Bombyx mori: one gene and its partner. The protein of the gene in region 1 interacts with the protein of each later gene in a pairwise test. Links are inferred from orthologs where the notes say so. Each region holds a gene or a part of one and is shown on either strand. Other genes may lie near its edges.

Region 1 (16,243 bases):
AAAAAAATATTGTGATTGTTGCCAACGTTGATTAATTTTCATATTTACCTTGAACCAGTGAAACCCATTTTAACTATTAATAATTTCACTCATTTGTTACTCGCGCGCCACCTATCATCCGTTAATAAAATTTAACCTTCCTTAGAGTGTCAGCAACAACTTTAGGAAGCATCATAATAAACAGATATACCATTTAGGGTGGCATAACGGACAAACACAGTTTTTTTTAACTAAATAGATAAACCCAACAAATTTCCCATTATTACATGAATTATCTTATAGGTATTACGTCTATTGAGAAGAAAGAAAAAACCGAAATGAAAACCAGATTTCCGGACATGGGTCTCAGTGGACTTAAGGGATCTTTGCTCCCGTTTCCAAAGCGGACTTTCTCCTGTTCACAGACTTATTCAACTAGCATAGATGTGCAACATACATCCTTACGGATCCATCAGATCCATTAACCTCAACACTAGACGCCTTCAGCTCCAACACTAGGAGCAGCCCTGGGGCCCCGGTAACCGCACTCGTCGGATTCGGCAAAGAGTTCCACGTGTAACTTAACCTAAACATCAGCATCAAAATGTGATACCTACCACAAGATTGAAATAATAGTCGAGGTCAATGCGCTAGCCGTTAGGTTATAGGTAACGTTACCACACGTCCCGCTTTGGGCGGGATTGTCCCGGTTTCAGAGTGTCCGTCCCGCTGTCCCCGACGAGAACAAAAATGTCCCGCTTTCATTTATCTGTTGTGCATGTGTTTATTAGAAACTTACCGAATACTTACTTATCCCAAATCCTTATTGTATTACAAAATACATAGTAAAGTAACTCTAATTTTGCTGTAGAAAAGTATTATAGTTTTTTTTTTGTTACGATTCTTTTTATAAATATTGCTTTAATGGTAAGTTGCTATAAGAATTAAGATGTCAGTGAGGGTAAGATACCATAATAAATTAATTCAAGTCATTTTTAAACCATATCTTTTGCTTTTATTTATTTATTTATTTATTAAGTTGCACCAACAAAGTGATCATCAATACAAAACATTAACAAATTGACAAAAGTTCATGGCAGATGTCACCTCAATTATAGGTGCAATCGACAGTGCATTAACATTAAAAGTAAAAAAAAATATTACATCTTAGCCCGACGTACCTTATATATGTATTTATTTATATACGAAATACCGGAGGCGCTTTGACACGAAAAAAAAAGGTCACGTTAGTTATAGGCCAATATACATAATATGTATATTGCAATTTCCCTAAAGACGACTTCCAGGTGGCGATGCAACTGGCATCCAATATCCGCTTTACACCAAGTGTCCTGTAACCTGACCGCCGGTCCGGCGTCCCGAGGGGGACGGGAGAGATGTGCTCCGCACTAAACGCTTCACTTTCCCCCCTTTGCCTTTTCATGAGTTCTGTCTCATGCGAGGTTTGGGTGTTGGTTGTTGAGCGACAGGAGGTTTTAGTCAGTTCGACTCTGACATGCCCCGCCCTCCACTGGGGACGGAGGGCGGGAGTCGGGCGATTTCCTCTTGACCAAAAAAAAAAAGTGTCCTGTAACCTAAAAAATATAAAGGCATATCCTATTTTTCGTGCTTCGTTGTTCGGTTGGATTCGTCGCGCGCCATATCGTAACGTTTTTCGTTCGTAATTACAAGCGGTGTCGTAACAGCGACCGTTCAGCTCAGAGCCAGTTTGTGGTGTCTAGGTACTCGGCTGCTAACTTGGACTAAAAATACATTTGATTTGGCATAGATAACCAGCATCAAAGCGTTTTATGTTATCAAAATTAAGATAAGTTAAAATGCCTATAAAAAGTCCTATTATCATATCTCGCCTAAATAAGAAAAAAAAAGATTTACAAAAAACTTAGGCACTAATCCTATTACTATAGGAATTTTGGAAATTTTGAATGAAGCACTTCAATCACTACGTACATTTGATTTCGCCAGCCTGATATTAACTTAACACAACCTAAAAGTTTTGAAGAAACCGAAACAGATAAAAGTATATGGGTAATGTATTATTAGCACTTCTCAACCTAGCACTTTCTAAATTTGCTGGGTGACTAAATATGTATTTTAGGGGCCTATACTACATATTTAGCCTAGCCTAAGGGGCTATTCCAGCTGCGTCCGGACGCGTAGGTGAGCTCACGGGCTCAACCTGCGAGAATTTGCTAACACTAGCCCTAGCAAGAACAACGCTTCACAGAATCTATCACTGAATCGCGATCCACTGAGAAGATCAGGCGTAAAACTCAGTAGGCTAAATATGTGTGTAATTTGACGGTATCATGATGAAAAACCACAATCTCTCTGATCAAATCCACTCCTGGTAGGTGATCCACTTTGCATTACCACTGAACTATCTTTTTAAACTCGGTTTTATTAGATTTTATCATTCCCGATCCTGCAGACAGAATGGAAAGCAGTCGACGTTGCCCAAAACACGTCATTTCGGATCCGCCCGACCCACTGACGGTGCTTTTAGGTACCTCAAGCACCGGTCATCATTCTCGTCGAACCCGTCGCTAGCGACGAAGGGCTCGACGAGTAAATTAACCCTCAGACACAGCCCACTGAGTTTCTCGCCGGATCTTCTCAGTGGGTCGTGTTTCCGATCGGGTGGTAGATTCTGCGAAGCACGGCTCTTGCTAGGGTTCGTGTTAGCAACGTCGTCAGGTTTAAGCCCCGTGAGCTCACCTACTAGTTAAGGTTACGCTGAAATAGCCTCCCAAGGCGATCAGTTTAGGTAGGAAAAAAAAATTAGATTTTAATAGATAATGGCAAATGAATACACGATTCATTAAGTTTCTTTCAGTGAGCTGGTGTGCTTCTAAAATATCAAGCGTTTTTGAAAATCTAGTCTTTTCAAATGGAGCAAAACTTTTTTGAGATTAGGTAGCCCCTATCTCATCAGCTACATCCTAACTACGAATGTTCCATTTCAACTGAGTTTTTTTAAAGATGTCAATCTACATTACCCCTAACACGTTAGCAAAATCGCGTTTCGTCTGTAACATCAAAATTCTCTGATTCAAATACGGTTGAACCGATTTGGTGCTATTCTTTTTGACACTGCATACAATAGAAAAACAATGGCGAAAAGGTGGAAAACCTTTTTTATTTTCCTGTTTGAAAAATATCATCTATTTGATGGTATAATATCACAATCCCTCAACTCTACGGCGGATGAAAGCTTACAAGAAGAGTGGTTTGGTGCGGCAGGGCCATAAAATTTTCCTTATGTCCGCGGTCTGCTCCCAATAAGTGCAGACCGTCAGACTGTGCAGACCGTGTCTCCTAGGCGCGGACACCTCGTAGGAGGCTCGGCCCCCTGCCGAAAAAAAAAATGTCTTGCGTCGCTTAACAAACACAGCAACGAATGGATTTTAAACAGCATTGTCACCTGCGATGAAAAATTGATGTTTTTTGATGTTACGCCGGCAAGAATAACGCCATCTATCGCCGAATAGTCGAACGAATATTGAAGAATATAGTAGCACCGAGAACGCTCGAGAAGTACAACGCCATCTATTGTCAGATAGCGGAAACACAATACTAGAGATATGTGAAATATTCTCGATAATTCTAGGGATGTGGTATCAGCTATAAAAGCGTTGCAGGGATGGCACGCAGTCAGTCAGTAATCGGAACTACTCGAAGCGAAACAGCGGACGGATCTCCTGAAGCGAAGCGAAAGAAGTGAATTGAGAATTTTAAAGTGTTTGTGAAGTGTTTTAAGTGTTGAATATAGTGTAAACTTGTGATTCAGTAGAATTTTTATTTATCCCGAACGCCAGCGCGTAATAATAATCAAATGTTGTCATAATGTTAGTAAGACACTGGTTCAGCACCTAAATAAAGACCTAAACGAAAACTTAGGTACCCCTAAGAAGTCAAGGTCACTGTTTGGTGGTCTAATGCCGGTATAATTAATCACAGCACACCAGCACTTCTTCTTCACCAGCGTTACTTCAGGTGAGTACTGTGAGGAACCGTGAGGACACTATGATGGAGGAGAAGGTCGCGAATCTCCGACCGGACTTGGTTAATCGCTCGTCACCGATGCTCCTATACGACAACGCTTCATACGGCATAACACGGACGGTCTCTAAGCTACAAGGGCAAATAGAGCAAGAGCCCGCGAACCTTCGTTATTTTATGAAAGCTTGTCAGCGCATCCTCCCAACACGGGTAAGAACGATGAACCATTATGAAGTTTGGGTAATCGTGGCTTTGGCAGGAAAACGGTAATAAAAGTGTGTAAAATACTGAGTTTACACACCTTTAGTATCGTTTTCCTGTCTGAATTTGAATTAGATCAGAATGAAAATCGATCAGTTCTAAATTGATCAAATAATAAAGTGCGATTTTTTGGTATTAGCTTCAGAATATTATTAAAAATCACGTTATTCATTACCAGACACAACATTGTGGCAACCCCTTGCCAGACACCTTTAATGTTCATGAAATTATAATTGTACGTACCTACGTAATAGTATAAAAGCTGATTTTTATATACAATACTTGGGTAATAAGTAGATGACATTTCGTCATTAGCTAGACATTTTTGATAGTTCCAACCTCTTGCCAGACAAGTATTTTAAATGTTAAGGAGAGATTCGTGATTAGAATGACTTATCTAAAAACTAAAAACTAAAAATCTCTTCTCTTCTTTGTCTCACCTTATCCCACTAGGTTGGGTCGGCACACAATTTTTTTCTATTTCATTCTCTTCTATCAGCCGTCATCTCAACACTGACTACTCTCTCTCTTATCTCGTCATTCACACACTCCATGTGTGTCTTCTTCGATCGACCTCTTCCTCTTTTTTTATTTATTACATCATACATCTATATATACATCTCCTAGTCACATGTAGCCTGCCGTTCTAAGCCGTTCCAATTTCAAGTGATTGGTTTTTTAAACCTTTTTTTATTTATTGCTTAGATGGTTGGACGAGCTTACAGCCCACCTGATGTTAAGTGGTTACTGGAGCCCATAGACATCTACAACGTAAATGCGCCATCCACCTTGAGATATAAGTTTTAAGGTCTCAGTATAGTTACAATGGCTGCCCCACCCTTCAAACCGAAACGCATTACTGCTTCACGGCAGAAATAGGCAGGGCGGTGGTACCCACTCGCGCGGACTCACAAGAAGTCCTACCACCCGTAATTACGCAAATTATAATTTTGCGGGTTTCATTTTTATTACACAATGTTATTCCTTCAGCGTGGAAGTCAATCATGAACATTTGTTGAGTACGTATTTCATTACAATGATATATAAGATATAAAACAGGATGAGCCCTAAAAATGACAGCATAAAATATATTTTATCAGCAGAAATAGACAAGATGATAGTACCTAATGCCTCAAACCTATCAACACCCAGGGTTCTTAATTTTCCCTAGCACCACTAATCATGGTAAAGTTAATAATCACTATCATTAGCAGCATTATATATATATATCAGACCCTTTCATTATTTCTCTGCAACCTGTATTGTATTCCTGTATTCCTGTTACATAAAAAAAGTAGACTGCAGGCTGTTGCTGATATCCATGATTAAAGTGATATTTTACCACTGCCTGCCTGCAATGGCAATGAATAAAACATAGTAGCTCTAATTCCTCATAAATACCCATGGTATGTTCCAACAAATACAAAAAATTGACAAGCCAAAAATATTTTATTGTCCCTTATTCTTAATTAATTTATTTTTCTTAATCAAGCTCTTGGTGTTATCATTTAACTGCTCAAAGAATGCTTTTGAAGTCTTCACTGATTTGTCACTGACTTCTACACTCTTTGTAGTATTCCTGCTGTCTGTTACTTTTGTAACCTGTCCTTTTTTCTTCTGCAATTTCTTCTTTTTCCTTCTTTCTCTATTTTTGTCTGTCTTTGTTCTCTCTTCTTTGCTAATAAGATCTCCTTTCTGTTTTCTCTTAATTTCTTCGGGAGCCAATAGCGCTGCATCACTGGTAGCTACTGGAGCCACCTCCTCCATCGATATTGCTGGAGTATTTGATACAATTGTCACTTCAGGCTGTACAGCTTTCGGTGTGTAGTGATAATGACTCAGTGCATCTAATTTTGAGAATAACTGTGACATGGCTTCTCGAATTTCTTTATGTGCTTCTGGTTCTTTTTCTTCTACAATCTCTCCTGATGCTGCCTGTTTCTGTTTTAAGTACTCCGCCTCATAGACTTGAGCTAAGCTTAGCTTGCTCTTTGAATGATCTAGAATTTCCTTCTTTCGGAATGCCAGTTGGTCATCAACTGGCTTTTCTTTTTTAACAACATCATCCCAAGCTTTATCTTTGATTCTACGTTTAATTATGTCTTCTAAAGAAACTGTGGTCTGTTCAGTTATAATTGGAGCTGGACGTGTTGTTAAATCAAAATCCACAACTTCTTGAAGAAGTGAGTTTTGAGGACGTTTCGATGCATCCACTTCACCTTTGAGTTGCCAAGAGGCTTCTTTCAAAGTCTTTTCCTCTAGTCGTTGAATGTGTTGTTTTAGTCTTTGCTGGCGTTGCTCAAACTCAGACTGTTTTTCTTCAATTGTTTTACTATTTACTTTATTATTTTTGTTACTATCAACTGAATTGTCATCTGAATCATCAATAGATGGTTGTGAGAATCGGACTTGCTTTTTTTTATTTGACTGCTCTGTAACCTCCTCTTCTTCATCTTCAACTGAATCATCTATTTCCTGGTCCATATCATAGTCCCCATCTTCAGCACCATCTTGATCAAAAAAGTCATTATACATGACATTTTCATCTTCCTCCTCCTCATTGTCATCTTCGAAGAAATCTATAGACTCCTCATCACTGTCACGATCACCTTTGGTTCTATTTGTTTGTTTTTTTTCTTCTTTCAATAAAAACTCTTCCATTTCGGAAAGTTTGAAAAACTTGTCATCCACCTGCGAAGGCCTGGTTTTCTTTTTTGGTACATCACTTTGAACTCGTTGAGATCTGCCATGCTCAAGTTCAATATTCTCAGATACTTTTTCTCCATCATCTTCTACCATAGGTTCAACACCATGAGGTAAGATCTCCTTGGGTTTTTCTTTAGCAACTTTTATGGGAAATACTAATTCGTTATTTGCGCTCATAGAGTTGGCCACCTCCCACACTATCTGGTCCCAGCGTTGGGAGTTCTGCAGCTCTATCTGTTGCCATATCTGCTCCTCATCAAAATCTTCCACAATTAATTCCTTTAAGGCCCCACTCTTCTTCTTCTTATCGCTCTTCTCCTGAGATTTCGTGTAATCGTATACCGATTTTACAAACCTTTTTAGGTCCTCTTTCAACTCTTTTTGCACAGACAAAAATTTTACTGGTTTATCAGTGTAACTGTTGAATTTATTAAGTATACCTTCCAAATCTATGCAAGCCATTTTACTGTAATAAATATGATAATTTTATCTTTAATGTGTCATGTAAAATTTAAGATACGGAATTACTGAAACTACCAAAGAAAACAAATCGCTGCAAAACCAAAAAACACACGCGGTGCATTATTTTGACGTTTGATCTAATGGTAGCATTGGCAACTAAATGACACATTGGTCTATTTGACATTTTTGTATTTTTTCATTCGTCCATTGAAAGGCCAAGAAAACATAGGCTATTTAAAAGAAATCTGTCACGGCAAAAATATAATCTTGGAATCAAATATGGCATTAAAAATGTAAAGAGGGTGATGACCTTACAATAATTAATTCATTGCTCGCATGCTCGCCAAAAAATAATTTGATCTAAAATGTTATTACAAATCAGAATGTTCTGTTCATAGTAAATGGTGCACATCTATAGTTTTAAAAGGGCCAATGTATATTTTATACCTCTTGGTATCCATGGGACCAATACAACCAACAAAAAATAAAGTTTATGGTAATGTAAGTAGGGATGGTCTGTAACAGATGAAATCAGAGACCTGTTCCACCTGTTCCTGTTCCATTGAAAGAACAGTTCCAGTAGCCTGTTCCAATATAACAGCTTGTTGTGTTACAACAGGCTTAATAATGTTTGAAGGGTGGAGCAGCCGTTGTACCTGAGACCTTAGAACCTTTATATCAAGATGTCTATGGGCTCCAGTAACCATTTAACACCAGGTGGGCTGTGAGCCCATCCACCCATCTAAACACTAAATATATAAATAAAGTAGAATATATTCCACATAAAGGAACAGTCACACATATGGAATGGTTTCAATACATTTTTTTAAATGTAAATAATCCTTCATGCTTTCTCAGGCTTAGGACTGACAACTTGGTTTATTAATATTAATAATATGTGAAACTAGTTTTGCCAAAATGTATTTAAATTAAAACATATAGCCCATATAAGCATGCCAGACCTAAAACAGAATAGACAAGTTCAGAAGTTTGGACTTAGTAAGCGTTCGGATACATGCTAGGCCTTTTAACTCAATTAAATATTTTTACCACCATAATAACAACTGTCTATTAATCATTTTAAAAGTATATTATCTTCAAATTTTAAGCAAGACATTACAAATAATACCATATTTTAAATGATATATAATATAACAGAGTACATTTATTATTGTATATAATAATTTATGCGTGTATCCGAATGTATTTACTAATACCAAAGGGGAATATGCATGCATGTTAATGTTATTGCTATTTTTTTTTCTATTACAATAAGTGAAAGGAGAAAAGAGCATGATACAAACAGTTTGGGAACATGATGTATATGCCATCTTTTTCTATTTCTATACGGGAAAAGAAAAAAGAGCTTGTTCCAAACAGTTTCGTTTCTGGCTGTTTGCTGTGGAACGGAACAACGCAACATATGGAATATTGTGGAACAGCTGGAACAGTTTGAACAGTTGGATCAGTTGTTTCGGTCTATAGACAACAGTTCCAAGTCTTTTCATAGACGAACCTATGAAAAGAAAACCTGTTCCGTTTGACTGTTCCGATAAATACGCCTCACCCCTAATTGTGAGGTGTTTTGTTTATTCTATGGCGACGTTGCTTTAAGTTTTGACATGGACTTTTTGACGGGAACGCGAGGAGTGAAGTTGTGTGAATTGTTTTATTTTGTCTGTTTGGTGTTTCTTCAGGTTTAAATGTGTAATAACGGTGGTTTTTTAACTGTTTAATATCTGTAAAAGTGCACAAATGTGGGAAAATGAAACAAAGCTGCTGGACGTAGCTTCCCAGTATCCTCCAAAAAGTCCATTGAAAAAATCTTAGTAAACGACCACAATTTTACTGAGATTGTATTTCATCCCATATCACCTCATCTCATCTCATTTAATTTCATCCCAGTTAATTAATGTCTCAAATTAATCATCTTCATTTTTCATAAAAATAAGAATATAAATTTAAATAAGATATGACTTAAAAGTCTTAGTTACCAGGTCATAAAATCCCTTAAAAAAAGTTTTAACTTTTGACATTTATATTTTATTGTTTTGATGTGTGCCCTTTTTATTTTTTTATTTGTGAAAGTTAAAGTAAATAATAAAATATTCATTAATTATAATTTGGTTTTGATTTTTAATTTCATTTGAGTTTGTCTTCGTAGGCTACCTTAATATCACCAGATAAAACGTAAGTAATGTGCTTAACTGTATATTGTTTAAGCCTGTTATTTTTCACTTGAGTGCCCGCTGTTTCTATACGTCCATCTTCGTGATGCCCACGTATTTAACTCGTAATTATACTTTTTAGTCTTATAAAAAGGGTAATCTCTTATTATTTTACATGTTAACCCACACACAAAATTCATACGTGTGTTCTTTTTTACAAACTAATGAAAAGTATTTGCTTACAAATGGTCTATATGACTAAAAATAGGAGGTAATATTAGCTGAAATGCAGTAAATTTCAGGAAATAAATCATTCTGAAAAATTTAACATATACTAATGCTTTGTATTGTATAATAACATATTATTATGCTTAACATATATGCTTTTAGCATTATCCACCATTAAGTTATACTTACTGATACTACACAAGGAATTTTTTTTTTTTTATTTTATGTTGTCTTTTATACTTTGATTAGTTTACAGATATGTAAATATGGGACTTAAAAAATTTTTGACCTGGATGTTAAGGTTTTGCATAGGATTATATTTTGGTTTGCTTGATATAAAAAGTGAATTTTAGTTACATGAACAGGAATATTTGGTTGTTCTTGTATATCACCATCTATAGTCAGGTGTCAAGTAATTAGAAAATTAAGTAGAATACAGTGTAAGAATTCTTAGCTGATAATATAATCTCAATTCTGGTCAATATACCCATTTTTGCACACCTAAAAGGGCTCAAGCGGTAACTTGGTCATCACTTAATTTGGTGCATTAACTGAATTAAATATATCTTCTAAACATATATTAAGTAAATAAAAATAAATTAAATACTTTCTCTTGACTAAAAATGCCCTCATGAGTAAATACTGCAAGGCTATTAGATCTGAACATATTGAAGAAATAACATGTAAAAAAATGTATCAGTTAGGTTCTGCTTGCAGCTCTGCCCACATATACATTAACTTTCTTAAGATATATTTTATCAAAATCCATTTAGCAGATTATGCTGGATTTATTAAAAAACATGCAAATATTTTCTGATAATTTCTTCACATTCATAATTTTAGACAAAACAAAACGTCAATTCTAAATTATGTAATAAAATCCAAATAATTCTCCCAAATTACATCCCAGTTAAATTATCATTAAGATGAAACTATTATACCTCGGGAACAAATTACTGGGATTTATTGATTGATGAAGTTCAGAACTAGACTTTTGTTGAAATAAAATATTAAAGATGGATTATTATCCCAAGGGAACACATTACCGGGATACGAAGTATCTTATGTGTTATTACAGGAAATGGACTATCTATGTGCCAATTTTCATCTAAATCTGCTCATTGATGTATGTTTGACTGAGTATCCAAACATCTTCACAAACATTTATAATATTGGTAAAACTGAAACACTTTGCTGTGACTATAGCTAATTGTTTAAAGAACATTAATTGCTTGAAAGTACTTGCATGTCGCCTGTCATATCTTGATGCTACTGTGACAGAAACTTTTCCTGGAAACCAAAAACAACTATAGCAAATTTTACCCCAATCTGATGAATGGTTCTGGTGCACAGGAGGTACATACGTTGTACGGAGGTACATACGTTGTTGAACAAATTGTTAATTTTATTAAATAGATGGATGGTCAAGATCAGCTGGAAATGAAGTTCAGCAGTGGGAGTGATGTAGGTGGACTAGAGCTCTGTATAGTTTGTGGAGACCGAGCATCTGGAAGACATTATGGTGCTATTAGTTGTGAAGGTACAATCTTTATTTATGATATTTTAAAATTGCCTTGCGTGATTCTCCTTGGTATAGAATAGTAGCTAGTAATGCTATCTTCTATCATACCTGTCTTGGTCAGATGAATGATAGAATAGAATTGAGACTAACTCATGTAATTTAGTTGCATGTATATGGGCTCCGGTAACTATGGGCTCAATCAAATATATGAAGTAAATAAAAAAGTTGATAAACCTAAAGAAAACACGCTTTTATGGCTAGCTGAAATAAAAAACAGGTGCTAGATGTCACTTGTTGTAAATGTTATTGACAGATATTGGTAAAAGTAATGTTGTTAATCATGAAGATCCTGTGTGCTTAGTGTGAGTTTTTTAATTTCTCGATCGACTAAAAGTTAACTCAAATTTGTATGGAGTTGAAACAGCGCCCCTAGCGGCAAACATCGGGAGGCCGTTCCAACTCACAAGCACACTCAAGCACACTGATCAGCATAGTAGCACATTTTTCATTGGTCCTTGATAAGTGTGCGAAGTTTCTATTCAAGCCAATACTTTTCTGTGAAAATCTTGTCCAAGGATTCCATAATATAGATAAATGCAAAGTTACCAAGAGCATAAAATACACTATCTGCTGAACATCATGCTATGAACAGCAAGAGTGGAACTGTAAGACTAATTAAGGAACACTCAGTAACTCAGTAATGTTATTTTATTTTTATTGCCCTTGTAGGCAGACGAGCATACGGCCCACCTGATGGTGAGTAGTTACCTTCGCCCATAGACGTCAGCAATGCCAGGGGCAGAGCCAAGCCGCTGCCTACCGCTGTTACCTTTTCCCTTCTGATCTTTTAACCCTTTCGCTACTATCTATGATTATAGTCACCGACTGAAAGACACCGCCTATACACGACGGGTGATGTATGTTCTTTCAGCATAGAGCTCCGTTTCCTGCGAAACACTTTGTAGCAAAGCTTGGTGTAGTGAAAGCGTTAAAAGATAAAACGCAGGTATTCGTGAAACATAATAGAACAGAAATCGACGTGATTCCTTCAGAGCGCCACAAAGGACATAGGTGAACCGCATGACAGTCAAAGGGTTAAGACTTTTCCAACGTACTGAAATGTTTGCCGCTGGGAATTGTTTAATTTTATAAAAACGCCTTCGCATTGCATTATTTTAGAACAATTTATCATTAGAAAAGTTTAAGTATGCCAACTTAAAAAAAAAACACGTGTGACACTCGGGGACTGCCGCGGTAAAGCTATTGAATTGCATTTTTTATCAACTTATGCAATTATAATTACACAACAATAATTTAACATTACAACAATAATAAAATAAGACCACGCTATATTTATACACATTAACAAAAGCAAAACATTAACTGTCCTCTTCACACTTATAAGCTAGACCGTGAGAGAGAGAGAGATGGGCAGACTTTTCATGACGCGCGCACTTATTCACAAACACTACACAAGCGCAACGTGTGAATGTGTTGAACGCGAGCTACATGGTAGGCGGAGTGGAGGGTGTTAGGTTTTATTTTCATTACGGAAAAGGAATAAAAACCGTTTTTGAAATATTTTCCATTGATGCTATTGGTCATAATGTGATGTCATAGCCTTGCTCGATAAATGGGCTATCCAACACTAATATTATTTCAATTCGAAACAGTAATACCTGAGATTAGCATGTTCAAACAAACAAACTCTTCAGTTTTAGCATAGATATTTGGCCAAATGGGTTCATTTATGTTTCAAATACATCTTTAGCCTGGATTTGGTTCATGTGTTAAACTTTCCACTTATTGTATTTTTCAGGCTGTAAAGGCTTTTTCAAGCGTTCAATCAGAAAGAAGCTCGGGTACCAGTGTCGAGGTACTATGAACTGTGAAGTGACCAAGCATCACCGGAACCGGTGCCAGTACTGCAGGCTGCAAAAGTGTCTTGCTTGCGGGATGAGGAGCGACTGTGAGTTGTTCTCTTTATTATTATTATTTAGTTCTTAGCAATATTTGTTATTATTAGTACACAAGTCTACCTGGTAATTGAACCATGGACTCTACACACAAAACATCTCTAAAGAATGTTGTTACCTTCTATATTGAAAAATCAAAATTCACTACCATCAACTTACAGCTAAATGCATCAGATGTTAGTGCATCGGATCACTGTCCTGTCTGTTTCTGCCGTGAGTCGTAACTTCCAGCGTCAGGAGTGGGACAATCAATGGGCGTTACAATTGAGACTTCGAAGCACGGCTCCCGGCATCCACTGAAGCTATAAAAACCGAAAAAAGTATCACCAGGCTCTGGACTCACACAGACAGAACCCACTGACTTTCTCGCCGCATTTTCTCCGTTGGTCGGGATTCTGATAGCGCTGCTCCTGTTAGGCCTAGTGTTAGCAATTCGGTCAGGTCGAGCCCTTGAGCTCACTAACTCGTCCGAGCCTAGCTGGAATAGGCATTTTGGCTATTAGTGATTAGGTAGGAAAAAAACGCTCTAAAAAGGTTCTTCTTTTTTTTATTGCCCTTGTAGGCAGTGGAACATACGGCCCACCTGAAGGTGAGTGGTTACCGTCGCTCATGGGCTTCAGTAATGCAAGAGGCAGAGCCAAGTCCTTCAGAGCCTTCTTCTGAGGACGTGAAAATCAAACACTGCTTCTGGCTGCTTCGGAAATTCTTGTCAGGCCAATAAATAATTATAAATAAATAATCATAAATAAATATTTACTAACAATCATACCACGTTAACTAGTCCCGTGCTAAGTTCGTAAAGAACTTTTGTTACAGGTACCAGATAATGGAAATAAATGTAAGATTTTTATTATACACATACATATATTTAATATACATCCATAACCCTGGAAGAGACATTTATATTGATCATACAAATATCTTCCCTTGGCGGGATTCGAAGCCGCGACCCCCTTGTGTAGTGACCATGTCACTTACCACTACACCAGACGGCCGTTAAATTGAAATGGTACAATAATAATGTGGAGCAGTAATTCTTGCACTGTTTGCGACAGCGGTCCAGCACGAACGGAAGCCGATCGTCGACAAGAACAAGTCGGAGCCGCGGGACGGGCTGGCCGACCGGCAGGCCGCCTACTCCAAGCTGCTGGGACTCGCGGGCCAGGCTCCCAGCGCACAGGTAACCATGGCAACGAGCCGTCGCTTCCCACTGAGTCTCTGTCGAACTGGGAGCGACCCGCCCCTCGGAGCGGTGCACATGAGTGGTAGCGACCACTTACAGTCGTATGAAAGATGCGTGATAATTTGGTCTTTCATTTTTTGCGCCATTACCAATAAATACAGAGCTCACCTGATGGAGTGGGTCCTAGCGCTCGTCAACGGTACAACGAGCATTGCACCCTGGGAGGGAGTACCCACTACCGTTCGCGAGGCTCCTCGCTTGGCATTTGTGGTGGGCCGTATGCCCACAAGTGCAAAAAAAACCACAAATCTACTGAAAATGTCGTTCGAATCTAGTTTTTGTGGGATTTGTTTAGTTCTATGACAGCCGTGGCTTCAGAGCTGAATTCATACACCTTCATACAAGTAGTCATTCAAACATGTTCAGTTGAATTTTATTAAGATTGTATCCGACCTCAAGCTCTTGCGACTATGGGCAAGCGGATGTGCCCCGCGGAGCTGCGTGCGTGGCTGTAACCAGCTGTTGTGGGTTCCAGCAGCTGACCCCCAAGGAGGAGGCGGGCGAGGCGTTCGGCGCCGTGTCCCCCGCGCCCGCCATCAACTTCGCCCTGGCCGCCGCCGTCGCCTTCAACAAGAACTCAGGTGCGCCCTCACCACCCCGGGCTGCCTACCTACCCACCTACCACCCACTAATATTTTTAAAGTTCTGATATTTCTTAGTCATATGCACTCTTGGCAGGGTGCTCGTGGTCATCAGTTCGGGTGGTGATGTCAAACGTCACCATCCCTCGCACACTGCGGACCTTCTTGTGCACTTGTTGACCGTTTAAAATTTGTAATGCTATGAATAGTGCAGATATATAATGATGATGAACTCTGAGAAATTAAAGTATCAGATGTTTGTTGAAGTTCCGTGTGTAAGTAAAGTAATGGTTATATCCAGTGTCTCCGTACCTGAACCCCGGCAGTCCTGGCGACATGGAGGGTGCCCGCAGACAACAGATCATGCTGCAAACGCAATTAGCCAAGAATCTCTTCAAAATGGGACAGTTTGGTAAGTCTACAAATTTTTTATGAAATAACAAAAATCTAGAGATATATTTTTTGTTATGCACACTACTAATTAACTACATATATTAACTACTGGCTGACCCGGCAGACTTCGTAATGCCTCAATCGATAAATAAAAAACCTAAACTTTTGTATAAAATGAACTAAAAATAAAAACAAAAGGAATCCGTCCGACGGGGGACACATCAAAGAATAAACAAAATTGTCATCTTTATTTAATTCTGAGCATTTTCGTATTTAATCCAAATCCCAAATTTAAGCCAAATTGGTTCAGCCGTTCTCGAGTTTTAGCGAGACTATCGAACAGCAATTCATTTTTATATATATATAGATGTTTAGTTCAGCAAAATACTATGTCAAAAAAATTTCTATCTATCGTCTAATTGCACCTGCATGCTGTTCTGACCTTAATGTGGTGATCGACAGGAGCCATCAACGAGTACCTGCAGTCGGCGTACGGCGCCGCGCCCGAGCCCCCGCCCCCCGCCGACGACGCGCGCCCCGACGGTACCACACGCACGCACTTGCACACACTACTGGACCCTAGTCGCTAGGCAGGGATCGTCGCCTGTCATATCTGAGAATTAATTTAATCAAAATTCCGGTGATGTTTGGCGGAGTGCCCTGCCTTCAAAATGTGTGTGTGTATCGGTCGGTGAATTGAG
Region 2 (16,624 bases), on another chromosome or scaffold:
GAGCCGCCCGAGAGGAAACGGGATTTGGGGAATCTCAAACTGTGGGGACTCTCTAGTTCTTAGTGTTGGAAATGTAATATACAAAATAAACTAAAATACTAAAAAGGATTGTGTGGTTTTATGAAACCACGGTAAAAGTGAAACATTTACATTAGACAGTGACAAAAACAAAAACAAAATAGCGTGGAGCACTGGCACAAATGAGTAACAGTCTATACACTACACGGTCAGCTGCTGCGAACTATAGGCGCCGCCATATTGGCCTTGGCTGCTCTGACGAGCGCCTTTCACTTTATCCCTACTCCGCGGCCGACCGTCACGCGACATGCAACACACAGACGAAAAAGTTTGAGACGATGTAATAAAAGATTAAACTAAAAATTTTTTTAAACTAATGGTCCCCCGGTAGTCGAAATTTGACTATAATTAAGTCAAATTATAAGTTTGTACACTACTATGGTTCTATATCGAGTTTAATGAGGGACGGTTTTATTCTGAAATGAGCTCAAATGGTTTTTTAAGCAAACTATAGTAGAATTATTTTGTCCGTGCAGTTTGGGTAATAAAAAATCGGAGCGGTGAAGCGAGTATTTCGCTCTCTCTTCCATTCAAGAGCCTTATGGACGGGCATCGTGATGCACATTATTGTTGTCGATAACCGTTATCGATAGTGTATTTAGTTTTTGTGGGTTAGAGATAAAAATGAAAGAAAAAATCACTAATCGAACACTTACACCACATATCCCCGCAGCAAATTAACGAGAACGGCAGAAATTAACACATTGTAACTTTTCGGGATCTATTCTCATTTCCGTGAAAATTTATACACATTGTTGATAACAACGCGTGCAAATATTATTTTGAATAAATTCTGCCGTTTTGATACAAAACAAAGGAGTAGCCATTGTGTCCCTAAAGAAATTCAGAGAACGAATGCATAAAAGCACATTTCTCTTCGACATATGTACTATAATTTGCAGGTAGGTACAACAAATGACTCATAACATAACAATGTCTCACCACCCTTCGTATACCACCCCGCCGCCGTGTACCTGCCTTCGCTGACTCATTTGTTTTTATCGATAATGGCGTTGCGGCCGCGCAACATGCTCACCGCCCTAGCCGGGCTATGTTTTATGACCCAAACTGCACGGACAAAATAATTCTACTATAATTTCAAGTAGGTACTTACTAGTTTTTTTAAGTAAAATAAAAACTTTTATACGTAAATTATAGTTTTATTTATATAATTTTATTGATGCATTTTTGTTGAATTTTCGAACTTTTTTCCTAAAAATATGTAATCAGTCTGTTTTTAAAACGCACATTTAATTCGCCATTAATGGTGAGGTAGGTTTGCGCGTTGACCTGTTGCCCTCGGTCAGCAAACGGGCGAACTCGACTGTCCGAGGTCATTAAGAAGTCAAATAGTTTAAAAACACGAAAAAATAGTTCAAGTACCATTTTTTCCACTGTCAACATTTTGTTTTTTATTTTTGTTTAGTTAGTGGCTAATGAAGATCTTTAGTATAAATAACGAACTATATCGAACCAAAGTGATTGTCGAACTTTAATTAATACGAGTACATATTAAGTCTTTCCCTATGAAGTTGTCATTTGATATAGTGTGCTTAGTGCGAGTTTTTTAACGTTCTGGATAGCGTAAAAGTTTAATGTTTGCCTACGTTTGCCGCTAGGGGCGCTGTTCCAACTACATACAAATTTGAGTTAACTTTTACGCTATCGAGAACGTTAAAAAACTCGCACTAAGCACACGGATAGTTTCAGTGTACTTCTTGAAGAAATGAGGCGTACGGGACTCAACAAATTTCAAAGGCAATTTGTACTATCTTTCGGGTTTTGAGTTTTTACTCAGCTGAGAAGCTCAAACTGGAAAAAGTGGAGGTCTGTCGGCGTAAGTCTGGTCTGGTCTGATTTTGTAGCTTAGAGGCCGCTGTTGGGCCGGAGGAGGTCGGGCGCCGGAGATTAGAGAGCTTCTTATCTCATACATAACCCAACTCATACATGTGAATAGGAGATGTATGGAAATGGTAGTGCAAGGTAGAGGGGGAAGAGGTCGAATGAAGAAGACATGGATGGAGTGTGTGAATGATGATATGAGAGAGAGAGAGTGAGTGTTGAAATGACTACTGATAGAAGAGAATGGAAGAGAAAAATTCGTTCGAAAATTGGCAATATTTTGAAATGACAACTTCATAGGTAAGCACAGGTATTTTATAGGAAATATTAATATTAAAAGAACAACAACAAAACAACAGAAAACGTCATATATATATAGGTCGAAATTGGATCATTAAGCTAACACTTATTACTAAAGTAATATCTCTAAGAAATAAAATTATCGTAACTCGATATTTGTGACGCAATTGACTATCTAAATCTAATTCGCAAAATATACAAACATTTATACAACTAAAGAGGTGTTTTAAAGTATTTTGGTTTCAAATATAATATTATTGTCAAAATACATTAATATTTAATATTCGATGACTCCGGCGCCACTAGCACCAGCTACGCTACAAGAATAGTTACATCTAAACAAATTTACATCTACAACAACAAAAAAATTTACAGTCCCACCGTGAATCGAACCCGGACCCCCAGCGGCTCCAACGATCAGAATAGTCGCGACTCGCGAAGACTCGCGTCGGTCGGACGAGAGTACTGCCAGCCTGACCGTGAACGATCGCCGTGGTTTATGGATTCACACTGCGTTCTCGACAAATGAAAATGTTCACCATCGAATTTTTTTATAACGCCATCTGTCGCTCGATATGCGGACCACGGGCTCCCTCTACCTCAACACATAGAATCCAGTGAATTGTTCAGTTTTGATCCGTCGTTGGTAACCTTGTGAAGTCCGCGATGCTACCCATCTGGAGTGCCAGGCATCACCAGGTCTCGACCTGGAGTCGACCTTGCTCCTGCAGGCTGCGCACGGCGTCGCTGCTGGCGGCCGCGCTGGTCCCGGAGCACACCCGGATGACGTCAGCGAGCGCCTCCCGCACGTTGTCCGGCATGCTCTTGGCGTTGCCGGATATGAACACGTGGGCGTTGTTGTTCAGCAGTCGCCAGATCGTCTCGCGGTTCTCGAATATCTTGTGCTGGACGTAGCTGTGGAAACGAGACCTCTTACTGGTGGTGACTTTTTGGCGGAAACGCGAGGAGTTTTTACTGGTGGTAGGACCTCTTATGAGTTCGCACGGGTAGGTACCACCACCCTGCCTATTTCTGCCGTGAAGCAGTAATGCGTTTCGGTTTAAAGGGTGGGGCAGCCGTTGTAACTATACTGAGACCTTAGAACTGATATCTCAAGGTGGGTGGCGCATTTACGTTGTAGATGTCTATGAGCTCCAGTAACCACTTAACACCAGGTGGGCTGTGAGCTCGTCCATCCATCTAAAAAATAAAAAAAAGAGACAGAGTGTTGGTACAAAGCGTGCACAGCGACGCGGTGCCGCCCCCAAGCCGAGAGGGACACCTGTATCTGGCCAGAGGTCGCACGTAGCATTGTCCCTCCATTGACTTCCCTACTCCTCAGTAAAGAGGTCGATAACTAATAAGATATTATATTCTCCTACCACCCGATCCCCCATCTGTACTGTGGCTAAGACACATTACGAGCCCACACGGCCGATGCCAGTATCTGAGTAGTTATTTCTGCTTCGACAGTACTTATTCGTCTTGATTATAGGGGCGGTACAGTCGCCATCAAAAATCTTATTACATTATTAATAAAAAGTGCTCCAGTAATTGCTCCATTTATTTGTAATAACATTGCGTACAGGGAGACGCGTTCGTCAAACACAATTTTAGGCTCCGGTGTGTTGAGAGTTGTCACACCGACGACCCTCAGTACTACGATCACTCCCAACAATACTACCGAAGTGGTGAACAAATATAATTATCTCCAACTCACATCTTATCTTCCTGGTCTCTAGAAAAAGCGCAGTACAAACTCAAGTTCCCATCTCCCACCATCCCCTCCAACTCTTCCCTGCAGTGGTAGTCCTTCTCTTTGTACCGACACCCGAAGAACAGATGCATGATGTCCTTGGACGCTGTGCCGTAGTGAACCCTTTCTTGGAGCAAACTCCTGAAGGGAGCGAGCCCCGTGCCTGGCCCCACCATTATGTGAGGCACGCTCTGAAAGCCACAAACAGTTATTGTAGTGCTGAATTTTCAAATATTTAAAATATATTAAATAAGTTATTCGTAATATAAATTAAAATGTAATTTATTTATTTATAGAAGTCGTTTTTAATTTATTGTATAGTTTAGCTTATTTATTTTAAAAAAAAAATCTTTTGATTGAGGACAGCTGTTTACAATACAATCTTGATACTTTAATGGGTGGCCTATGGGCTCAGGTGACTTCTTTACATCAAATAGGCCTTGAACTCTTTAACCTGAGCAAGAATGAAACCTACAATAATATGAGCATTCACCTTTTTTTCCCTACCTATTCTAGTAACTTTGAGGGGTTATTCTAGATTCACCGAACTAGTAGGTGAGCTCAAGGGGCTCAAACCTGATGTTGTTGCTAACACGAACCCTAGCAATAGCAGTGCTCCGCAGAAACTACCACCGGGTTGGAAACGCAACCCACTGAGAAGATGAACTGGTGAGAAACTCAGTGGATTGTGTCTATGGGTTCATTTACTCGCCGAGCCCTTCGTCGCAAGCGACGGGTTCGATGAGAACGACGACTGGGGTAGCCTAAGGCGTTGGCATTTTGAGCCCTTCAGTTACTATGCCATTTATTATGGCACTTTTCTTTTTAACTGTACTTTGGCGCGCTGTCTGGACAAAGTACAGTAGATTGGGGGAAATCAGGACGCTTTCCAATTCCAATACAAATTTTTTGGGCGACCTCGACTGTTTACCATTCGGTCCGCAGGATCGGGAATGAGCACTCACCGCATCATCAGGAAAAACAAAGGTCCCCTTTTTGATCCACCCGTAGACCTTGTGACCGGGGGGCAGCGCCGCGAGCCAGTTGGAGGCGAGGCCGAGGCGCGGGCGGCGCAGCGCCGTGCGGTACCGGACCGCCGCCACCAGCAGCTGCAGGCCGCGCCCCGCCGCCGCCGCGCCGCACGCGCTCGCTATCGAGAACGAGCGCGGCTTTATAATCGAGAACAACTCGAACAGCGTCTGTATGGTGAGCCGCGCGGCCGAGCGGTGGAAGTCCTGCAGCACCTGCGAGCACAAGACACTTACTGGTGGTAGGGTAGGTACCACCCCCCGGTGAAGGTCAAGGGGTGATCTGAGGGGGTAGAGGCCGCGCGACGCGCTACCTGCACTTTAGCAGCTGCCAAAGAGTATCTATAATAGAGCAACCGATTGGCGATGTATCGCGTCCCGACTCGGCAGGCTGGTTTTGGTCCAGCGGGGTATTCCGGGACACCAGCGGCACCGTCTGGGCGGCCTGACGGGCTGCTGTACCGAGACGGCCGACGTTTCTGAGCAGCCTCGAAGGCTCCGTCGGCCGGGCGTCCTTGGGGTGAGCTGCGCTGTCTGGTTGTAGTGTTGACCGCGGTAACCCCCCTACCTCATGCGCGTTCTAACCTCGGAGAGGATCGGACGCTTGGGCGAAGAGTGCAGGGAGTCGTTTAGTGAGTGGGCCCTAAATTGCCTTGGGTCCGCGCGCTCCCTAGGCGCGGGGACTTCGCCCTCGCCTCGACCTCGTAGGTGGTTCGGCCCCGGCCCGAACAAAAAAAAAGGGTAGGTACCACCATCCCAACTATTTGTGCCGTGAAGCAATAATGTGTTTGAGTTTGGTTTGTTTTGAAGGGTGGGGCAGCCGTTGTAACTATACTGAGAACTTAGAACCTATATCTTAAGGTGGGTGGCGCATTTACATTGTAGATGGTCTCGTCGTGGTCGTGGTAGATGACTATGGGCTCTAAAAATCACTTAACACTAGGTGGGCTGTGAGCTCGTCGACCCATCTAAACAATAAAAAAAACCTATACGCACACACGGTTAGAGTGAGCTCAGAAATGTCCTAACGTTGGCAAAACACCCTGTATATACCAAGGCAAACATTCATGCGCTTAAGAGCACCGGTGGCTCATCATACGAGACTTCTTGTCGAACCGTTCGTTTCGATATCGAGTAGAGGGAACTCGTTCTCGTCCCCGTCATCTGACTGCCGGAGTCCCGCAAGGCTCCGCACTCTCCCCGTTACTATTTAGTTTGTATATCAACGATATACCCCGGTCTCCGGAGACCCATCTAGCGCTCTTCGCCGATGACACGGCTATCTACTACTCGTGTAGGAAGATGTCGTTGCTTCATCGGCGACTCCAGACCGCAGTAACCACCATGGGACAGTGGTTCCGGAAGTGGCGAATAGACATTAACCCCACGAAAAGCACAGCGGTGCTATTCAAAAGGGGTCGCCCTCCGAATACCACTTCGAGCACCCCACTCCCCAGTAGGCGCGTAAACACCTCCGCCGTTAGCCCCATCACTCTCTTTGACCAGCCCATACCGTGGGCCCCGAAGGTCAAATACCTAGGCGTCACCCTCGACAGAGGGATGACATTCCGTCCCCACGTAAAAGTCGACTCTACCCAATGCTTTGTAGACGAAGCAAACTGTCCCTCCGTAACAAGGTAACCCTCTACAAAACTTGCATACGCCCCGTCATGACGTATGCAAGCGTAGTTCGCTCACGCGGCCCGCACCAACTTGAAACCCCTTCAGGTTATACAATCCCGATTCTGCAGGATAGCCGTCGGAGCACCATGGTTCCAGAGGAACGTGGACCTCCACGATGACCTGGAGCTCGACCCCGTCAGTAAGTATCTACAGTCGGCATCGCTGCGCCACTTTGAGAAGGCGGCACGACATGAGAACCCTCTTGTCGTGGCCGCCGGAAACTACATACCCGATCCTGTAGACCGTTTGGTAAACCGTCGACGTCGCCCAAAGCACGTCATCACGGATCCTCCTGATCCATTAACGGTGCTTTTAGGCAATACAAGCACCGGTCACCGTCCTCGCCGAACCCGTCGCTTGCGACGAAGGGCTCGACGAGCGAATTAACCCACAGACACAGCCCACTGAGTTTCTCGCCGGATCTTCTCAGTGGGTCGCGTTTCCGATCCGGTGGTAGATTCTGCGAAGCACTGCTCTTGCTAGGGCGGTGTTAGCAATTCTCCGGTTTGAGCCCCGCGAGCTCACCTACACAAGCTAGGGTACGCTGAAATAGCCTCTCAAGGCTATCAGCATAGGTAGGAAAAAAAAAAAAAAAAAAAAGCACCGGTGACCACTGTATATCAGCTAGACTCACATCTCTGGCTGGGTGGATGTATTTTCGTTATTATAAGGGTTCAAATAATCTTTTAAAATCAGATGAACCCTCTCGTCACTCGTCTAGACAATTAAAAAACCTGAACACTTCACGTGGGACACGTCCCATTGCGTGCGAATATTTAAAATATATCATTTAAATTCTCACTTCTATAACGGTTCTCTTCGTTCTCCTACAATAATTCAGCCAGTCCTCCTGACCCTCTGGGGAACTGAGCTCTATACATTTGTCCCTCTCTAACTTGTCCTGGGACACAAGTGCCAGAATGGAGAAAACATACTGAGTGGCGTAGCATCGCAGGTCCCAATACTGTTCGGCCACTTCGTATAAAGTCAAGGGGTGACATAGGAACTCAGGCACAGGCATATCTGGAAGGATATTAGTAAGACTGATAATTCAACAAGCTCATCTCTCATCAGATTTTAAGCGATCACCTTTGTGGGTTTATAAGTAAAGACTTCAAAATTAACTCTGATTGTGAATGCCCAATACTGATAGGACCATGTAAATTTCAAGATGATACAAAGTGATATTAAAATAGAGCCGATTAATGTTTCCTTCAAAATTAGTGTCATTCTTGTCTTATAAAAATACAGGACATGTTTTTTAAAGTAAAAAAACTTCATTATATATCAAAATATTTATTCATCTTGTTGCCATCCATCATCATCACTGAGGAAGCGTCTCTTGGCAGCCGTATTCATGTAGGGGCGGAGCGCCCACTCGGTGTCGGCGGCCGTCAGGGATTCCAGGGTGCCGAGCTTGATCTCATATAACCTCATTTGGAAACGTGGACCCACTTCTGTTAATTCAATATCCTTGCCTGCCTGGAAATCATGATATACATATATGTATTGTTATTTTTTTATATTACAAGTTGTTATAAAATAAGCATGCTCTAATACCTAATGTAACCGCATGTCACTAATACCTATGTAATATATATATAAAGTCAAAACAGTCAAAGCCAAAACTATTTTCTGTAAATCAACTGTTTTTCATAAAAAACATTTGAAAATAGACTTTTTTCAATCCAAAAATAAATAACAAAGAAAAAGAGAAAATGTGATTTAAGACAAGTCTTGAGATCAACATGTCAAAAAATTATAATTATAACTAATGCTGAATACCTTTTTATATGTATGTTGCCTGAAGCATATGTAATCATCATGGTTCGCAAATGATATAACTCTCTTTGAATCGGGTTTTGGTACAGGAAACAGGTACTTTAATATACTCATTGTACGTAAACCTGGAATAAGTATTAAAAATAGATTTATTCAAGCTGATAGGAGAATAAAGAAATAATAATTTAATGTTTCTAATGGGTAAGTTTAAATTATTGCATGGAGTTTTAAATTAATATTTTTTGTTAATTATATTTCAGACAAAACAAGATTCTAGACTTCAAGATTGAAATAAACAGTGGTATGAAACTTTGTGGGTTTACAACATACCTAAAAAAAATTAATATAGATGTTTCTAACTCACCAAGATTACTCTTAAAGTTATGGAATATGAGATGTGGATACTGTTCACTCATTGGTCCTATATCAGGTATATCATGTCTCATCACAACACCCGATAATGTGAAGGATGCTGTTGGACCATATGGGAGGTGGCATATTACCTTAAAACAAAGAAAAAAGTAACGATCTGTCAAATTATGCTATTAAATTAATTTGCATAATTTATTTAAAAAAATTACATTGTTTGTGCTAAATGTTGTGTTATTATTATTACAATATATATTTTTTTAATTTTTACTGTTTTCCAAATTCATTCCACCTAAAACATAATCTAAGCTCACCAAACTGTCTGGAACTCCTCGATGCTCGTGTACAACTATGAAATCTGTTACATCATTGGCTCGACAGGCATGAATCAATTGTGACATCTCATAACCACCTCTGTTCATACGCTGACTGTTCGGAAATATTAACCTAAAACATTGTATTTAAGCTATAAATTTAATCAATAGGCACAAACCAAAAATAATTGGCTGAAAAACAGTTGTTCCATGCTTTTCAATAATTCTGTAAAAATCTCACCTCAGTTCTTTTACAAACATCTTGAGCCTAGCACTAGGCTCTCTTGATGTGGTAATCATGATCTTCGGATCCTCGACACCTGCATATCTGTATTCATCATCCTGTGAATTGAGTGTGTTTGCCCCACCACTGAATCCTCCGATTACCGCCACTCTTTCCGGTCCTAAAGATTGAAATACATGCTAAATTTATTCAGTATTGCCGATTCTATTCTCCAAATTTGGAGATTTTACCACAAACTTAATTAAGGAAATTCGCCTTTTATTTGCAATTTGAGGTTAGGACACACAAGTTTTGATGTGAAATTTTCAATACTTTACTTACCTTTATCTTCATATTCAATTCTCTTCTGTAAGGCGATGGCATCCTTCCGTAAATCACCATGTATAGGTATATTCTCTTCAAGACTACGTTTGATCTGATCTTTTTTAGCTTGTATACTTTTTTGTTTTTCTTCAGCCGATTTCCGGTATAAATACTCGCGGCGTAATCGCGCCTGTCGTCGCAGCATTTTTGGTTTGTCGTTACTATAGTTGAATTCGATAACTAATTTTACTTTTGTATAAATTTAATGTTTCAAATGTTTGTTTGTAAAAAGCTACAAAAAACGCGGGTGACAATTGACAACTGACGTTTACGCACGTGTTGTTTTTTGTGATTGACATTTGGCGTTTCGTTTTTGCTATGTAATAGAATTTTATTACAAGTTAAAATAACTTGCAACACAAATGAATAGACCTTAAGATGTTTTGTTTGGAACAAACCGGCCACGAATTAATTGTCTGCAGTTTTTTTTTATCTATAATTTATTTTATATTTATTTTATTTTTATGTTAAAGGTACCAGGACATAAAATCCCAAAAAAAAAAACATTTGAATGTACATTGAGGATTAGTTTTCCTTTAAAAATTTTGTCCGGGGAAACCACAGTGGTGTCATGAGCATATCTCCGAAATTTCAAGAAAGTAAGGGAATAGGGTTGAGAACGTATAAGAACTAATGAACTGATGAGATTAGTAACACTAACAAATTATAATTTCTCGATATGCGAAGAACGGCCGGCGACTACCCAAGTAATCCGAATTAGCGCGCCGCCGCAAAGTGGATGCATTTTTATGAGACGTGCGGACGGCACTTTTAAGTTCAAAACAATTTATTTGACTCTCTTTTTTAATTGCTGGCTGTTTATTTATTGATACTCATCTCAAATTTGCTTTCATGCATCAATAATCTCGATAATTTTCTCTCATAATGTCGTAAGATATAGAATAAGCTACCAGAATGAAATATTGTGATACATATTATTGACATTTAAAAACATACTATCCAGCCACAACTATTCTATAGGAAAAGCATCTTGTAAGGGGACAAGTTGAAAAAGTGTCCACCTGTATACAACAAGTTATTGTTGGAAGACTCACCAAAATAGTGCTAGTGTAGGAAATGGAAGAGATATGAATATAGCAGACTTAAAACAGAGTGAAGTGTGCTGGATTAAAGTGAAGTGGGGTAGTATAGAGTGCTCTTTCTAAAATCCTTCCACTTGCCACTATGGTGCCACCTTAATTAACTCTCTTTCAGTGGACACTTTTTCATACACTGAGATGGTGCTCCTTATTTCTACTCCCTTCTATAGAAGTATTTATACATAAAGATCAATTAATGGTGGACAATTAAATATAAGCAATTATTAAATGTTCTGACTGCCAGAGCACAACACATAATAAGATTATTTTACTCAATTTAAATCAATGTTTTAACATGTTTAATTGTAATCTTTTATTTCAGATAAAAATGCTTACCATCATGATATTCTTCAACTAGTAATCTATAATGGGGCTTAATATCAATATTGTTACTTTCAAGTATGTTAAATAGGTCATCAATGTCCTCCTTTGAGTTCCGAGGTCTTATATTGAAAACATCACCAGGTTTGTAGGTTAAGCATTTACTAACAGATTTGAATGATATTAGTCTTACATCCTAAAAAAATAGATCTATATTATTTATATGTAATCACAATTTTACTTTTTTTTTTGTTTCTTAGATGGGTTAACGAGTAACAATGCTTATTATTTAATATGAGTAACAAAAACACTTAGTTACTGATAAATTGGTCTAATTATTTATTAGGTCCAAGCCCACACAAGTGGATGCTGCCATTAGGCTCATGTCTTTCATGGAACCACCCATTCCAGTTTCAACGGTTATGCTATAAGAACGAAATTGAAGCAAATCCTTTCTTCACCTTGTAGGGCAATAGCATTCACTTATCCTGTCTATGGATTCTAATAACCACCTAATATTAGGGTACAAGCACTATCTTGAGACCAGTCTTGTCGAAAAAAAGGCAAATAATAACAATCATGTCAAAACAAACTAAATGACTAAAATAATCATAAATAAAAATTTACAACATTTTATAACCTTGTTAAGAGTAGTGTAAAACTTATCAATTTGGCACACAAAATTTTGAGTCATTGATAAGAAGATCAAATATCACTTTGTAAAGATTCAGTCATGATTACATTATATATGATACTTTAATTCTATTGGTTTCTATTTCTAAGTAACTTAAATTGTCATAGATAAGGATTTTATTGAAAGAGTTTATAGCTCTTCTAAGGATCACAGAATCACATTAGCTAGTCAATATGTTTCACCCTTTAAATAAGTATCTCTCCCTCCATTGAAGTTTTTAAAAACACTTATAGGTCTACAAGAAAAGGCACTTTTCATAACATTGAATAATGAAGTACCTGAAAATGAGATTCATCCGTAGTTCTAACATTACTATCCACCTCCAACAACAAAGCTTCTTGGTTATTGCTGTTTTCGTGACCAAAATATATATCTTCACAAAATCCACTTTTAACATCAGCTTTGTCCTTCAACATAGAGACCTTCCAACGAGGAATGAATTCTGATTTTACATCTGTCTGTATACTCGGAAAATATTCTTTGAGTCGTACAAAGTATTCTTTGATCCATGGGGAAACTACACCATCGTGGCCCAGGTCATGTTGGTAGTCACATAAACCTACAAATGTTGTAAATACTTTATTATTATGTTCAAGGGGTTCTACGTAATCATCTGGTCAGTATCAATAACTTTGCTAAGAATATTTGCTATTCGAAGTCTAGGGATATTTTCCCTTGTCTTATGTGTTTGCAGTACCAAAGAACATATTTGCTTAAGTTTTTTTTTTTTTTTTTTATATTGCTTAGATGATTGGACGAGCTCACAGCCCACCTGGTGTTAAATGGTTACTGGAGCCCATAGACATCTACAACGTAAATGCGCCACCCACCTTGAGATATAAGTTGTAAGGTCTCAGTATAGTTACAACGGCTGCCCCACCCTTCAAACCGAAACGCATTACTGCTTCACAGCAGAAATAGGCAGGGTGGTGGTACCTACCCGCGCGGACTCACAACAGGTCCTACCACCAGTAAAGTAGTTGAGTAAGGATATTTTTTGTTACAATGTTCATGCAGTTACAGATTAGAGTTTAATAATATGCCATCACAATGTTTAATTTTGTTTTTTTCGTTCAGTTCATTGTTTTTATGTGTAAAATTATTTTATCTTTTTTATTTTAAAAAAAAAAACGCAAATGAATAATATTCATCTTACTTAATAAAAAATAAAGTTTGATTCAGAAGTTAAAACGGCTTATATTTTAAGTACTTACCAACATCTATTAATGGTCTGGCTCCTAATTGAATGAGGCGCTTGTGAAGCTTCTTAGCGACAAAATTGAACTCTGAATATGAAGAATCTCCTAAGCCCAACACTCCAAATTTCAATTTAATTAACGAATTCGCCGGTAGATTTTTCCTCAACAGAAACTTCCAGAATTTCTTCATATTATCCGGTTCATCGCCTTGACCCGTCGTAGCGCACACAAATATCGCAAATTCTTCATGAATCAGCATAGAAATGGGATACTCGTTCATCGCTTGAACGGGCCCGCGAAAACCCAAAGCTTTTGTCGTACGCCATATTCTTTCGGCTATTTCTTGAGCCGTGAATGTTTGACTACCGTACAGCACCGTCAGTCTGCCTATTTGACACATAATTTATTAATGAAATTGAAATTAATGAGAAAACTTTAAAGAACTTTATGGAAACGATAGTTCTGAGCGGTTTACTCCATTGTCAAAATAGTAAAAATGTCAAATTCTTATTCGTTTGGCAGATTTTATTTTGGCGTTTAGTTGTCAAACGTTTTGTTATCATTCTGGCAAAAACCCTAATCGGGGTGAATACCACAAAATCCAATTTGCGCATGCATTTAGTATTATAGTGCTCTCTACATCTACATTAAACGGAAATAATACAAACACTTTCCGAAAATTCTTAATGTATTGGCAGTAGTCTTTATTTAAACGCTTTATAAGACCTTTTGGTGCGGCATTGTTGGTGCGGCCTTTTGGTGAGGCATTGACGAGAGTTCGTGAATATAAATTTGTGTTGATAGGCTAAGTCAAAGAATTTCCCCTAAAAGGCAAGATATATAAGACCTTAATAAGACCTGCCGTCTTGTATAGATCAGCTTGTTGGACCACTAAAATGGCGGATGAAAGGCAATTGCATGCAGCAGAGTACAGCTGAGAAGTGCGCGTTTGGAATGGTATGGACATGTGATGAGACAAAATGAAAATGAGGTTGGTAAGAGAATGTTAACTATGAATGTGGAAGGATATAGAGGAAGAGGTAGACCTAAGAAGAAATGGATGGATTGCGTGAAAGACGATAGAGGAGTATGGAAGGAGAAAAAATGTTGCGCCGACCCTAGGTGACTGGGAGAAGGGCAGGAGAATGATGATGATGATGATGAGGCTAAGTCAAAAAATTAAGGAATATAGAGTGGAGTGGGTCTTTAATGTTTTGTAGGTCGATATTCCTATCATTTAACAGGACGAATACAGGTGAAGGCGAACTATTGGCGCGCACTACCTATGTAGTTTTAGGACTATTAGGTTTCGTCGAACTGGAGTAATAGAGCTTGATTGTTACCCCACTCTACCAGATACCCAACCTTAAACGAACTCCCCGGCGTTAAAAAAAAGGTCGATATTCTTGTCGATTGTTATTAAATCAAAGCCTTGAATAAATTGCCTGATTTTTTTTATTTCAGAAAACAAATTTTATTTATTATGGATGGCGTTGATGTTACACTACATCTATCATTGAAAATATTGAAAATTGTAGCTGTTAAACTAAGCCCCAAATGGCTCTTGAATTTTGTAAAGTTTCTTTAGAGTGAAATGCTTATAATGACTGTCTTGACTTGGCTTATTACTGGTTTTCGGTATGGCCTTCACTTTAGGCGCATCCTGGATACGAAACAAATAAATTTTCTAAATGAATAAAGAACAACAGCAACATTTAGTTGAACAAAAGTAAAGGACTTTTCTCTTCCGATTCTTCTAAAACACCAAGGAAGCTTCAAAAAACTTGCACGATTTTATTAAAAGCACATAAAATAATAAAGATATCCTAAAAAGTCGAGTAATTAATAGCCGCAAACAAATTGATAAAAAAATTGCTTTTAGATAGTCCAGTTTACGTCTTGTATTACATAGGTCTCGAATTTTGATCGTGCAGTAGACAACCCTAGTTCCACCCCGTTCAATACGGCAATCTTCTTTGTCATTCCTATTACCGATGTGATTTCCCATCTTGCTCACATCCGGCGCGCGGCAGTCTCGCGGCCTGTGTTTCAGTGCACACTCGCTCCTCAAGAAAAGAGCGGGAAAATATTTATATAAAATTAAATAGGCAGTGTAGTGTTTTTCGACTCTACGAAATGTGAGTATTTTATCCTTTTAATTTGGATTTACAATTTTAAATTGCACATTTATTAAATAAAACATTATAGATAATTAAAAGTAATGTCATTTAATGAAAATTGGTAGACGCTTTGTTATATTATGTTATATTGTTATATTAATCAATATAATTTTCTAAAGAATAAACGTGGATTATCAATAAAACGCTGTCAGTAGACCGGGCGGTGTACACACGTAATTCCTAATAATTATTTCGTAAATTCATGGAACATACATATTGAAAGCTGTTGGGACAAAAATGTATTTAATAATTTTAATATTCAGTTTAAAACGTTTAAGCTACTGATTGTTAAATTTGAATTATAAAATGATCCGAATGTGTCAATTTATGCAAGGAAAGAGTTTATTTAGTTGAAAAATAATATGAGTACCATTAAGGAAATTTAAACACATGGAATGATATTTATTAGCGAGTTTATTAATATCTTCAGTACGTTTAGAATCGAGCTTATCGTAATTCGTATGATGATTATTATTTGAAAAATTCGGACAATAACATATATCATATTTCTATTGGTAATAACATATTTCTATTTATCATACGAAAGAATATTATGTTTTCATTACAATCATCCTATAGGATTAGCAGAATATCGAGAGTTGAAATTTTTAAAAATTGGATTTAGATTAAGGAAAAATGTAGATGAGTACCGTCCTATTCAGATCCTTTTTTAACTTCATAGATAAATTAGCCTATTGTCCACTTAAATGCAAATAGTTAACGTTATTCATGGACATCACTAAAAGCATGTCAAAAGCGCTGCATAATTTTACGGACTCCGCCAAAAACTTACCTGATTTCTTTGATTGAATTTATAGAAATGCCTTGAAATTCTGAGGGATCTAAATACAAATTTTGGTTTTCTAATATTATCTAAAGTATTTTCCCGCCAAATTTGGCCGTTAAACGCAATATATCTAGAGATGTTACGTCAGCAGAGCACGTGGCTTCATCGATTTACCCCCACTCCACACGACCCTTGCGTCTGAAATGTCTTTTACCTTTGACCTCAGTTTTCAAATGATTATATTTTTGGTGTAATAATAATTATTTTAAGTATCGAACTTTATAAAATTACATATTGAATTTAATTTGAAAATAAATAATCAACGATTTAGAGTAGAATGAGTAACTACTTAATCTACCATAATCTTGATACTTCTGAGGGTTTCCCGGGTCACAGAAACACTGCTATGGCTTAATCTTGCGTATCAGTGCTTTTAATTAAGTATTCTGTTCTTCATCGGTTATAAATAAAAATCTGTGAAGACGCTTAGTTAAAATTAAAGATTGTGAAGAAAGACTTTTTCTTTTTTTATTTTAATTTTCAATTTTGCCGTACATAATGGCTTTGAAGGTACAGAAAAATGA

The links.
Region 2: the proteins of U3 small nucleolar ribonucleoprotein protein MPP10 (region 1) and U3 small nucleolar ribonucleoprotein protein IMP4 interact in a two-hybrid assay, tested with the Drosophila melanogaster proteins (2 studies listed by BioGRID). The link is inferred for Bombyx mori from reciprocal best matches to the Drosophila melanogaster genes CG13097 and CG11920.

Annotation. Positions count from the first base shown.
Region 1 is NC_085133.1:364,264-380,506, forward strand, and holds U3 small nucleolar ribonucleoprotein protein MPP10, read right to left. Parts: upstream 7,595-16,243; 5' UTR 7,432-7,594; coding exon 5,713-7,431; 3' UTR 5,694-5,712; downstream 1-5,693. Other genes in the region: Or (nuclear orphan receptor), read left to right, coding at 11,244-11,367, 13,169-13,318, 14,381-14,505, 15,044-15,149, 15,451-15,561, 16,005-16,085.
Region 2 is NC_085132.1:2,071,877-2,088,500, forward strand, and holds U3 small nucleolar ribonucleoprotein protein IMP4, read right to left. Parts: upstream 10,189-16,624; 5' UTR 9,905-10,188; coding exon 9,718-9,904; intron 9,557-9,717; coding exon 9,394-9,556; intron 9,286-9,393; coding exon 9,153-9,285; intron 8,973-9,152; coding exon 8,834-8,972; intron 8,595-8,833; coding exon 8,473-8,594; intron 8,170-8,472; coding exon 7,984-8,169; 3' UTR 7,968-7,983; downstream 1-7,967. Other genes in the region: THO complex subunit 3, read left to right, coding at 1-63; NADPH-dependent diflavin oxidoreductase 1, read right to left, coding at 2,913-3,135, 3,941-4,167, 4,942-5,220, 7,490-7,710, 11,196-11,376, 12,153-12,433, 13,089-13,473.